3 linked regions of the Caenorhabditis elegans genome follow. The protein of the gene in region 3 interacts with the protein of the main gene of each other region in a pairwise test. Each region holds a gene or a part of one and is shown on either strand. Other genes may lie near its edges. The genes, in order: rpl-24, cdc-25.3 and ttx-1.

The links.
Region 1: the proteins of ttx-1 (region 3) and rpl-24 interact in a two-hybrid assay, tested with the Caenorhabditis elegans proteins (one study listed by BioGRID).
Region 2: the proteins of ttx-1 (region 3) and cdc-25.3 interact in a two-hybrid assay, tested with the Caenorhabditis elegans proteins (2 studies listed by BioGRID).

Annotation. Positions count from the first base shown.
Region 1 is NC_003279.8:4,583,055-4,586,709, reverse strand, and holds rpl-24 (Large ribosomal subunit protein eL24), read right to left. Parts: upstream 1,596-3,655; 5' UTR 1,570-1,595; coding exon 1,489-1,569; intron 1,462-1,488; exon of another isoform or gene 1,301-1,461; intron 1,268-1,300; coding exon 1,166-1,267; intron 1,121-1,165; coding exon 911-1,120; intron 837-910; exon of another isoform or gene 727-836; intron 659-726; coding exon 572-658; 3' UTR 534-571; downstream 1-533. Other genes in the region: D1007.10 (Gustatory receptor), read right to left, coding at 1-135, 186-436; rps-10 (Plectin/eS10 N-terminal domain-containing protein), read left to right, coding at 2,219-2,362, 2,415-2,601, 2,650-2,768; tmem-39 (uncharacterized protein), read left to right, coding at 2,906-3,151, 3,202-3,285, 3,337-3,521.
Region 2 is NC_003281.10:8,915,710-8,919,804, reverse strand, and holds cdc-25.3 (M-phase inducer phosphatase cdc-25.3), read left to right. Parts: upstream 1-1,875; 5' UTR 1,876-1,909; coding exon 1,910-2,010; intron 2,011-2,057; coding exon 2,058-2,427; intron 2,428-2,821; coding exon 2,822-3,301; 3' UTR 3,302-3,451; downstream 3,452-4,095. Other genes in the region: trxr-2 (putative glutathione reductase 2), read right to left, coding at 3,452-3,600.
Region 3 is NC_003283.11:20,061,027-20,065,784, forward strand, and holds the start of ttx-1 (Homeobox protein ttx-1), read right to left. Parts: upstream 3,151-4,758; 5' UTR 3,149-3,150; coding exon 3,101-3,148; intron 395-3,100; coding exon of another isoform or gene 391-394; intron 1-390. UniProt on the Caenorhabditis elegans protein: Probable transcription factor. Binds to a motif including the sequence 5'-TAA[TG]-3' in regulatory promoter elements.

The sequences.
Region 1 (3,655 bases), on a different chromosome or scaffold from region 3:
CTTCGAATCACCAGAAACCAGATCACTGTTAAACAGAATACCATAAAGCATGCACACATCACAAATCGTTTCACGAGAAGAGCTTCATCGATCACGTGCAGAAAAGGAACTTGTTCGCTTAGAAATCGAGTGAGACTGAATTTTTGAAACCATATTATCCTTTTTAATAAGTCCAGAAAACTAACTATCTTTTGCTGAAAAATGTAGTGAATTTTGCTTTCAAAATATCAAGATCTAAAGAGTCGTTTCGAACTAAAAGCCCACGATTCCTATTGCTGACGGTGACATCACATAGTTCATCGGAGTTGATGATCCCCTCGAGAGAATCCGAATTTAAATTCCTTATGTCTATCGGAATTTCTTCAATCAGTCGGTACATATAAATGGCGAACCCAACAGTAAGAACACTGTACTGGGCTATTCGAAGAGTCCTCATTCTAAACAAACTCAAATGAACAGATTCGGATAGTTCTGTTAAAATAATAATTTGAGAATACTTTTCTTGTTGGATGTCTTGCATTAAAACTTTAACGGTCAACAAAATTTATTACAATAACGGGACCGAGAACGTTTATCGCTTTCCTCCGACACGTGGAGCAGCAGTCTTCACATTCTTGGCGGTCTTTTGCTGGGTCTTTGGCTGAGAGGCCTTCTTTTCCTGAAAACCAATGATAAAGAATTGACAAAATTAACTTGTTTTTAAATTTCATGCATATGGTAAATTGTCGGACTTCACACGAGACATGCTTATTGATATTACAGCTTCAAATAACTTGAAGCAATAATACCAACACATGGCAATTGTGCCCGTCCTTTGCTTTTGCAATACTTCAACACTCGTAAAATCACATATACCTTACAAGCTCTAACAGCATGCTAAAGTTTATAATAAATATTGTAGAAAGTTTACCTTGTTGGCAGCAGCCTTGGCGGCACGGACAGCCTTGTTGGCATCCTTGGCGATCTTAGCGGCTTGTTCACGCTGTTGGCGACGGAAGTCTTCGGTCTGGTTTCTCTTGGCAAGGATAGCATCAAGGGAAAGTCCAGCGACGGCGCGGTTAACAACCTGGACGGACTTCTTGGTCTTCTTTCTGGTGACTTGCTCTTGTCCGTGGGTTCCCTGTAAAATTACCAATTTTCAACTGCGTTTAAGGATCTCAAGTACCTTCTTGTTCTTGATTCTGTAGAGGACAGTCCATCTGATGTCACGTGGGTTACGGCGAAGCTTGGCTCCCTTGAGTGCCTTTCCACTGAGGAAGATTTGGACCTGAAATTTGAATAAATAAATCATGAAACGGTAGTTTGTCGCACTCAACACGTGGCATGCTTAACGATGGTATAACTTCTAAAAACTAGAAGATATAGCACCAACACATACATAAGGTGATTATGCTTTACTTTTGCAATACTTCAACACTCGTAAAATTACAATATACCTTACGAGCTCTAACAGCATGCTAACGCCTTTCAAAGAGAAACTGAACTCACCTTTCCGTCAGTACGGACAAGTCTCTTTCCGTGTCCTGGGTGGATCTTGTATCCGGAGTAAACGCAGGTTTCGACCTTCATTGTTGATAGGCCCTCGCTTGACGAATCTGAATTTCAACATTTTTGAGATAAATTTAGGATAAAGTAAAATCAACGACAATTATCAAGGATCTGTTTGTAGCTTATAAAAATAACGAATTTAATTTCCAATAATCAATTATTCCCAAAATTAAAACATTCGTGAACAAGGAGTTGGGATAGGCCTCGAAAAAAAAACGAAAAAATTCTTTCCTCTCTTCAAAACTCCTCTAATGCAAAAGATAGGGGCGCTACGCAGCAAGAGTACGGTAACACTCGTTTCGGCTGTGCGAATTTAACCAAAATCACTTGTTTCTCTGTGTCGCTGCGTGTGTGCCCCTATGTAATGCATTAGTCGGAAGAATTTCGTTGTACCTCTTTTCTTTCAATTTTTTTTTCCAAAATCCCGTTTCTTTGAAAATTTAGTGACTTATTGTGTTAAAAAAGTGAAAATTTATACTCTAATAAGCAATCAATCCTGAATTTCCAGGTGGAATTCTGTTGAGTCCCAAAAATAATGCATCTCAATCGATTTTTCTTGTTTCTGCCCTACTTTTGAAGATTCCTCCAATCGCCAAAAAATCTCTTCCTATTTCGTAAAAAATTGTGCATTGTTATAAATTGTGTATTTGTTTCAGAACTTGCGGTCATCATGTTCATCCCGAAAAGCCACACCAAGCTCATCTATGAGTACCTCTTCAACGAGGGAGTGACTGTCGCCAAGAAAGACTTCAATGCCAAGACTCACCCAAACATCGAGGGAGTTTCCAACCTTGAGGTCATCAAGACTTTGAAGGTGAGTTATTTTTCCCATAATTAAAAAAATCAATAATCTATTGTGATTACAGTCTCTTGCCTCCCGCGAGTTGGTTAAGGAGCAATTTGCCTGGCGCCACTACTACTGGTACTTGACCGACGCCGGAATCTTGTACCTCCGTGAGTACCTCGCTCTTCCAGCTGAGATCGTCCCAGCCACCATCAAGACCAAGCCAAGAGAGATCCGTGTCCCACACGAGGATAGAGCCCCACGCGCCGGTAAGTTTTGTCCTACAAGTACTTTTATTGATTGCTGAAAATATTCAGCTCAAGGCGAGAAGGGAGACCGTGAAGCCTACAGAACCGAGAAGGTCACCGAGGCTGGACCAGGAGGAGCCCCAGTCTACAGAGCCGGATTCGGCCGTGGAGCCCCACCACCACAATAAATGTTATTGTTTTTCTAATGAAATTGTTACATCAAAAGTTGAATTAATACAATAAACAAAACGGTGAATTTTCCATCAACAAGTACATTGTCACTCTGCCTAGAATCGTAATACATTTTGTGGAATTTAAGTAAGATATGCCGCCTCGAAGACGAGTGCCGGCACCTCCACCACAAGCTCCTTCCGTGCCAGCTTCAATCCCAAGAGCGAGTGGTGTAACGCTTTCCGTCCATCCTATATGGCCGGATATTCAGTTCACACAAGGAGAGCTATTTTTCGAATGCACTTTGTTTTTATATTCAGTATTGGCTTTATTTTTACAATATCTGAATATATACAAAACTCTTTGGTGGCTTCCGAAGTCGTATTGGCATTATTCACTTGTAAGTGTGAAAAAGGATAACAGGAAATTCAATATGTCCATTATTTTCAGAAATTCCATCTCATAAATCCATATTTCCTGTCATGTGTTGGCCTTTTACTTGGCTGGAGGGTAACCGTCTGTTTCTGGAAAACGGTAATGCCTTACATTTATTAAAATAGAAATCAATAATAAAGAATTGTGCAGATAACTGAAGTGATCGCCACAATATCCGCCAACCAGTCGCAGTTTATTCAGTCGAGCCTGATGATTGTAGAATATGCAGCAATTAAAACACCAGTGATGACACTGATCATTACGAGCTTCCTTTTCAGTTTTAATCGAGTCTGTCACGATTTTCCGAGTAGATCTGTGCTTTGGTTTTTATTTCCGTAAGTTGTCGGATTTTTGCAAATACACAGTCAAATTGACCTATTGCGCCATCTTGTTTCAGCATTTTTTATTAGAAATTAGTGTCAAAGTATAGAAAATCACTTTGTTTAAATATATTAAAATATAATTTATT
Region 2 (4,095 bases), on a different chromosome or scaffold from region 3:
AATATAAAAATTTCCAAAAAAATATAATGATTAATTTTCAGTAATAAATGTCAAAATATTTTGATTTTTGAGTTTCCATCCTCACACAACCCCAATTTACTATTTTCTCCACTTCGTCTGCCACTCGAAAACTACTGCCATTATTGTTGTTTATCAATTTACAGACCGTCAAAGTCGCAAAAACAAGAACTAAGGATTATTCATGGAAAATCCCAATGATTATTCGCAATAACATTCAAATATGCACTGCACAACGGGATCCCGATTTGGCAGAGTGCCAAAATCCAGAATAACCACTGCCAGTTTTTGATTCGCAGGTGGTTGGTAATGGGCTCGCATCTTCTGAATTAATAAAAGAAGAAAGACTGAAAAGAAAGAGAGTATACCCACAATGAGACGAGTGTGGAGATGGGAGAAAATATGAGAAGACTACACTACACCTTAGACATCTTAAATCTATATCTGGATGAGAATGTACAGAGCTGTATACCGGAAAAGAGTTAGTTGTAAATGTGGGAAAATTGTAAAAGTGTTCTCTAATCTTCAAAATCATTGTTGCTCTATTGATTTTTTTGTTCTGTAGGTAGTTTGAATAAATCTTATTTTCAATTGTATTAAACAGTGATTCGAAATTCAAATGACTCGAAGAATAATATAAAAACTGTTTTAGAAGTAGAGTAGCGACAGTTGGAAAATAGTTTTCAAAAAAGAAGCACCCCTTTACATGGGCCAAATGGTGCCTGAACCATCCAAATAAAACTTTACAAAATATTAATGAGACAGTGAAAAATGGAAATTTTGCTGGATTACCCGCATATTTGACATTAATTTCTAAGAACCTTAGGTTCCGTTATCCCAGTAGGAACACTGTAGAATACTGTAGCCAAATATGAAATACCCTAAACTAGTATCACTACTGTTATTTTAATAGTTTGTCGCGTATAATTTGACAACAGAAGATTTAAGTTTCTCAAAAAATAACTCGGCATTTTGATTTTTGTCAATTTATCAAGTCGACATTGATTGAAAAATACTAATTGAAAGTTTGACTATTCGTTTTTATGAAAGTGTATTTTGTACAATAAACGTAGAAAGCTGTTGGAAGAACGAACACCTTGTTGAAGTGATTTTGATTTTAAAAGTTTATCAAAAATTTAGGAGCTTTCAATAGTTTCATAGAATGTATTTTTCACCAAAGGAATGGTTATAAAAAATTTCACTCTTGAAATACCAATGGTTCTTTCTGATCTAGATATGTTAAGAGTCAGTCAAGAACCTGGAAGCCGGTTTCGTTTCCTTTTATAGGTGGAAATTTTCTTTTTCCAATTTTTTCTTTTCCAATTTTTTAAAAATTATTATGGTATCCATCAAATTAATGATTTTCAATTGTTTTGCCCACAAGCCATATTCTACACCTTATACCAAAAATTTTATTTAAAATTGTTCAAAGTTAAATACAATTAGAGACAATTCTCACCGTTTCTTCCCAGAATCAAAACTTCCCAGTCGAATCTACTCATATTCTCTTTGTCTAATTCCCGCTCTAAAGGTGAAAACAATCGTAGGTCAAATTCTCACTCCCGGAAATAGGTGCACATCGCCACACTAACACGACACCTTGGCACACAATTGCGAGATCAATTGTCTTCCCAGGAGAACGGCCCGCCCCATTTTATATAGGTTATATCGATCTCGAGGGGGACCATATAAAAGGGGAGGGTCCATGATCATTGCGCGCTAAAATAATGTTTTATTTTATTGAGTGTTCATTAGGGTTTTCTACTGATCCCATTCCAATTCATATTAAACTAGACTAGTCAGTCTCTCTTTTTTCATTTAGTCTTCAAATCCATTCTATTGCATTCTTTCATTCAGGTATACCTAGTTCAGTCTAGCTCCAAGTCTCCTGATGTGCGTTGACGTTCCATGTGAAAACTGCATTGTTCGCAATGACGGGCTCCGGCTGAAATGTTCTGAATGTGCTGAAGGATCCTCGAAGCTATTCCCAAGGTTAGTTGATTATTTGTGTTCGATATCAATAAATCCATAATTTACAGACAAAACCGTCAACACTCTTCTGCGATCAGCCACATCTCCAACTCATCGCCACCCACTCGGAAACGAAGCATTGATGGAGGATATACATCTGGAACGGATTCTGCGAATACTTCTGAAATTGTGATAAAGAAAAGACTAACTTTCTCAAAAAAGAGCCATTCAACTTCGGAAATTGAGACATGGAATGCCCATCTTCAAGTGGATTATCATTTGGAAACCGTGACGCCTAGCTGTTCTACCGTATACCAAAAAATCACTTCTGAAACGTTAATTGAAATCATGCAGAAGCTATCGCAAATTGAGTTTATGCAGAAATATATTCTAATTGATTGCCGATATGATTATGAATATAATGGAGGGCATATTAAGGTTAGTTTTTGCCGTTTGTACTACGTTTCCAGACTCCAAAGTCTTAGTGTGTACCTTTAAGTTTACAGTAACCCTCGTAATTTATATTCTCTCTTCGTGTCCGTGTATCATTTTAGTTTTTCAATAAATAGACTCTTTCGAGAGAAAATGCCATATGAGAATGGGATACTGTACTTCTTAAAACTCGTACTTAAAGAATCATGAGTCCGTTCTAATGGGTTCTGTCAAAAACAGAAAACACATTTAATTTTAGAATTAATAAAAAATCTACTTTCCTTCGTGGCAAGACCCTTCCAAACCAAATCATGCGCCTTTAAGTGTGCGTTTCAGAAAAAAGAATTATAATAACTGTTTTGAAAAAATACCAGAAAGTTAAAACTGCAAATCTTTTCAGGGAGCTCAAAGCCTGTTCAATCCAGAAACTGCTGCAGACTTCTTCTTCAACAAAGATGGTTCCAAGAAAATCAACCGGATACCCATTTTCTACTGTGAATACAGTCAAAAACGTGGACCAACCATGGCGAACAACCTTCGGGAAGTGGACAGAAAACTGAATTCAAATATCTATCCGAGATGTGATTATGAGGAGATTTATTTGTTGGAAGGAGGTTATAAAAACTTTTACGCTTTCACGCGGGGATTAGAGAAGGAACAAAGAGTACAACTCTGTGAGCCAGATAATTATGTAATCATGTTTGATGATCGTTATAAGGCTGAGCTTCGGAAGCACCAGTTCCATAAGAAGAATGTTTCGAAGCCAATGAAGAAATGGAGTTCAACAACATCTGTGATATCTATTCTAACAACTTCTGGAACTCGTATTTCGACACTTCGTCAGACATGTGATCCCATCCATGAGCACGATGCGCATTAAGAATATGTAGTTCCCGGTATCTTTTAAAAAGGATAATCAAATATTTTGTACTATTTATTATGTTTAATTATAATTACTAGTATCCAGGATAATAGGATGTAAATTAACTTTGATAAATAAACTGAATGATTTGTCAATAAACTTTTTGAATTATCCACAGCATCCCTGAGTTCTTGGGTCTTGTCCAGATCGTTTTGTAATGTGAAGCTTCACGAACTCTTCAGAAGAACATGGATGAATGGCAATTGTGTTTTGAAGATCAGACATTGAAATTCCAACACGGAATGCTACTGCGTAGCCTGAAATAATTTAGTGCAATCGGTTAGCTTTTAAAGTTTTCGTATCTTGATCGATTATCGAGGTTGTTAGTATTACCTACCCGCAGAATATTGTGAGTTGATTGCCAAAAGTACGGTACCTGAACTTGACACGATAAAATTTTTTCGCGCCTGTAAAGAATACTGTAGTTTCAGACTCTCGATTCTGCAGAAATTTTGTAGATTTTTAAAGCTTTTTGATAAAAATTTATTAATTGTCTCAAGTTGTGATTAAATCTTTAAAAAATCGATAAAAATTCTACAGCAGCGAAAGTTTAAATTTTCAGTATTATTTAAAGGTGCACACTTTCTTTGCATTAAAAATTGTCGTATCAAGCCGTATTTTTGGCGCAAAAATAGCAGAATTTTGCGTATGTGTAATATTATTCATTCAATAAAGAAAAAGATAAAAAATTCAAAATAACAGATTTAGCACGTAAGTTTTTGCGAACAGATTATGGTTTTTCGAACATTGTT
Region 3 (4,758 bases):
AAAAATTAAAAAATTGCAAAAAAAATTGGTTCCAAGTAATGTTATCAGTGCTCAAAGTTGAAGAACAACCAACAACAAAAAAAATTTTGAAAAAAAGTTGCAATTTTAAAAGTCAATTTTCCTGATAGTTTTGAAAGGTTTGTATTTAAATTTATATGTTATCGAAAGCCCAATATGTGATCTACTCAAAAAATTAAAAAATTAGCAGAAAATATCAGGCTTAAGTAAAGTTATCAGTGCTCAAAGTATGAGAATAACCAGCAAATTTTTTTTGTTGTTTTTTATTTTTATTTTTTTAAAAACTTTTTCGAACCGAAATGTCAAATTTTGAAGGAAAGATTTTCAATTTAAATCTAACATAAGAAATTAAAATTTATCCCGCATACTTACCCATTGTATCACTTACGCAGCAGTTACCAATACAAAAAAGAATCAGGTGATAACAAATGCACAAGTAAGTATGCGGGGTGATGGGGTGGGGGGAGGGAGGGGACCCCCCGAAAAAGCTGCTAAAATCCGCTTTTTAGGATTATGTCCTTAAATCTTAGGGTATTAAACACTCGAACCCGGTGGGGGGGGGGGATACCTGGGGCACCCAAAAGAAGGGCTCATCCCTCCTCACGGGGCATCAAAATGCGATTTTCTCGGCCAACGCCAATCCATTCCAAATAAACCGCCCATTTTTCTCGCCGCTCTCTTTGTTTTCCATGCTTTCTACGCTTTGTGACCGTACCACGTTTGGCTCCGCCCACTTTTCGGGCCAATGTTGGGGACACGGCGGCGGGCGGGGGGAGGAGCCCACCCCTGCAGTTTTGAATTGGTGTGGGTGGGGGGGGGGCCTTATTAATTGCTTTATTGATTTTTTTAAAAGGAAACTGTAGGTTTTAATTGTGCACTGACCCTATTTTTAAGAAATTTAGTTAGAAAGTGTGAAATTATTTCCAACAAAAAAACAACTTTTTTTTGGAAATTTTTTTTTGATCTATTTATGCTTATCCTGTGCACTTTAAAAAATTGTGTGCATTTTGAAATTCTTGGAAAAGGACATAAAAAAATTTTCAAACATTTTTAAAAAATTTCAGGCCATCATAACTTTTTTCTAAATTGATCTATTTTTATAAGTCTAGAATTGTTTAAATGTTTATTTTACGTACTTATAGAATTTTTAATTATATATGTTAAAAAACTGAGCAAAAATCTTGAAAGTTCGACATCAATTGTTTAATTTTTTAATTTTCCAAAAAATTGAAATTTTCAACCCCAAATTCAAATCTTCATAACTTTCTTCAAAATCAACCGACTTTGAATTTTGTTCATCTTTTTAATATTAATTTTTGTGCTTTTTAAGTATTATTTAAACAATTCTATTAAAAACCATATACACATACCGAAAACTTTTTTTTTTTGGTTTTAGAAACTCTCAGTTGAATTTTTTTTTAATTTTAGCTTTATTTTTAAACCTTCATAACTTTTTTCAAATTTGGTCAATTTTAACTTTAATTATACTATTTGAAAGCTTATTACTGTGTTATTTAGGCAATGTTTTTCAAAAAAATTCACTATGCAGTTGAAATTTAGACATTTTAGAGGAAATATTTATGAAAAAATTTTTTTTTTGGCCCCCAAAAAAACGCAAAAAAAATTTTTCCCCCAAATCTCCCGCAACCGTAATTTTTGATATATAATCAACCGGAGCGTGTCTTGTTATTTCAACGCATCCGTGACGCTGCTCCGCGAGCACATCGTGATGAGCGCTACTGTTTGCCTCCAATTTTGGGACTGTGGTGTGGTACTGGCTACCGTAATCTCCCGTGTGTGTGTACCTTTCTCATCAAACAAAACAATTGATTTAGTTTGGGTTAAGCAATGGAATCTGTTTCGCTTTTTGCTTGTTGGAGGAAAAATTTTTTTTGGGAAACTAAATTTTTTTGGAATTTTTTTTAACCTACCTAGAATTTTTACAGTTGGCGTAAAATTGTGCACAGTTCACAAAATAAAATTATACTAACCTAAAAGCTTGAAAATAGGCGACTCAAGTATATATGGTAACTTGGTAGTATATTAATTTTGAGCAGATCTATAAAGTGTCCCATTGCGGTTTGATCTACAAAAAATGCGGGAATTTTTGCCCAAAACAATGTGACGTTAGCTGCTTTTATAGTCAATATATTTTTCTTTTGGATGTGGCTTAAACCTCGAAAATGAGACAATTTTAAACCAAGTTATGATAGCTTGAAAATTAAAGAAAAAATTCGGTAAAAAATTTTTTTAATCAGAAAATTTGAAATTTTCAAAGTTTTTAGATTTTTTTTGCAGTTTACAATACTTACTAGTGCTTGTTTTTCACAGATCTGGGCTTTAAATTTTACTACAAATAAGCTTTTTATGTACATTTCAAGCAAAGTTATGGCTAGTCAAAGTTTATGAAAAACTCAAAAAAAGTTTTGAAAAAAACATTTTGAAAACTTTTTTTGGTGACAAATCTTTGAACGTTATACATACTGCTCAAATTGCTCATTTTTTGAGCTTTATAACAAAATTGAAACTGGCTTCAACGGTCCATTTTCAGCAAAGTTACGAAGGTTTTACATTGGCGCCCCCGGTGAGGGGCGGAGCCTAAACTACAGTAACTGGCCACTCAAATTGTTTGAATTCAAGGGAATTTAAAGGTCTAAAAGCACAATTCGAAATGTTTTTAGGTATGTATATAGTTAAATAGCAGTTTGGAAATTTTTGAAAAAAAAAAAAAAATTTTGAATAAAATTTTTTTTTTCGAAAATTTGCATTGAATTTTTGTCTAAATTTTCAATTAAAATTATTTTAACTGCTTAATATTGTTTTCAAGCTGTTTTGCCTAAAAAACCGGCTTCAAGCCCCTCTAAACGGTTTTTAACGGGTTATCCTCCTAAAATACCATCTGAGATCTGAAATCTGAAATCTGAAATCTGAAATCCTAAGCTAAAGGCTTAATGGTTAATAAGCTTCATAGGCTACAAGCTACACAAAAAAATTTAATGGGACTTTAAAGGAATCGCAGAAAAAAATGCTTTAAAACTTTTAAGAAAAAAAATTTTTTTTGGAAATTATTTTTCGGACCTACCAATTCAACAATAGAGTCGGATGGAGCTGAGGAAGACGTCAAGGACATGAAGCAGGAATATATGACAAATGAAATACGGATTTCAGGGATTTTCGGGGCGGCTTCTGATCCATTTTCCAATCAGTCTAATGGAGCTACTACAGTACCCCCCGGGGATCCTGGGATGAGCTGTAGAGATTATCTTATACCTACGTAGGTATATATATATATATATATATATATATATATATATATATATATATATATATATATATATATATATATATATATATATATATGTTAATATTAATATGCATCATAATAATAATGGAAATTAATTTGTGAATATTGGGAAATTTTTCGACATATTTTTTCAGGGAACGCGGCGGTCTGGAAATTCTGAAAATTCTGAGAATCTGAAAAAAAATCTGAAAAAAATTTCGAAGCATAAATCAAATATTTCGAATATTTTAGCACCTGGAAATTCAAATTTTGAGAATTTTTAACGTAGTAAAAATTTGATATGAATTTTTTACCATTTTTCAAAAATTGTCAAAATTTCAAATTTTTTAAACTGCGATTTTCAAATTTTCAAATTAATTTTAACACATCATAGTTATACCAGTATTGTTAAAAATTGTCTCAGCTACTACAAAACAAAAATTATTACTTTGTAGGGTGCTCATGAAAAGAATCTATTCTAAAAAATTGAACAAAAAAAATTTTTGGAAAAAAAATTTTTTTGGAAAATATTTTCAAAATACATTTTTTCCAGATCTCAGTTTAATTTATACATGTTCACAAATTATAGGTGTTTAGCGAAAAATTTTAGCATCCCAACAAACTATGTTATGACAGTTTAAAATAACATAATAATTTTGAATTTTTTTTTTTTATTTTTCAATTTGATTTTTCAGGTTTTCAACTAAATTCTATCAAAAAACTTATAACATCAATCTTGTAGCAAATTTTTTCAGCTATCCAAAAACAATAAATTCCATTTCACAACTCCACAACAAACCAAGTTATGCGCCTTTAAACTAGTACCCCTCCACCCCTAGCAAGTGGTAATCCTTTATTGACTCTCGACTGACCAACCGATGTCCGTTTTCTCCTTGAAAAGTGTTAATACACTTGTCAAACTTTCCTCCCCATCTTTTTGCGGTATATAGTCTCTATATGTCGGCTGTCACTTAAAAGGACCCTGCAAACGAGTGCCGATGCGGGTGGGGGGGGGGGGGGGGAGGCATGTGTTATGGGTAAATAGACCGGAAACGAGAGGATACGGTGATTATGGTGTTAACAGTGAAGGGGTTTAGTAGGTGTTAAAATAGTGATAGAAAACTTTTGATAAACTAGAAGGAAATTTGAATTTTGGTTATTTGAAGAAAAAAATTTGAAAACTAAAAAAAAAATTTTTTTTTCGAGTATCACTTTTTGAAACCTTGTGATTTTTATTTTGTTATTTTTCAAGTTGTTCGAAATTAACGTTATCTTAAACAACTTTTCATGAACTAAACAAAAATCTATTTTTTATAATTATCGGGTCAATGTGTACTAAGTTATGAGCATTTGAAAATCAGTTAAAATTTCAAAAACAAATTTTTTTGAGAAAAACATTTTTGAAACTTATTTTTTCAATTTTTCTAAAAGCACCACAAAGATGTTCTAACATGGGT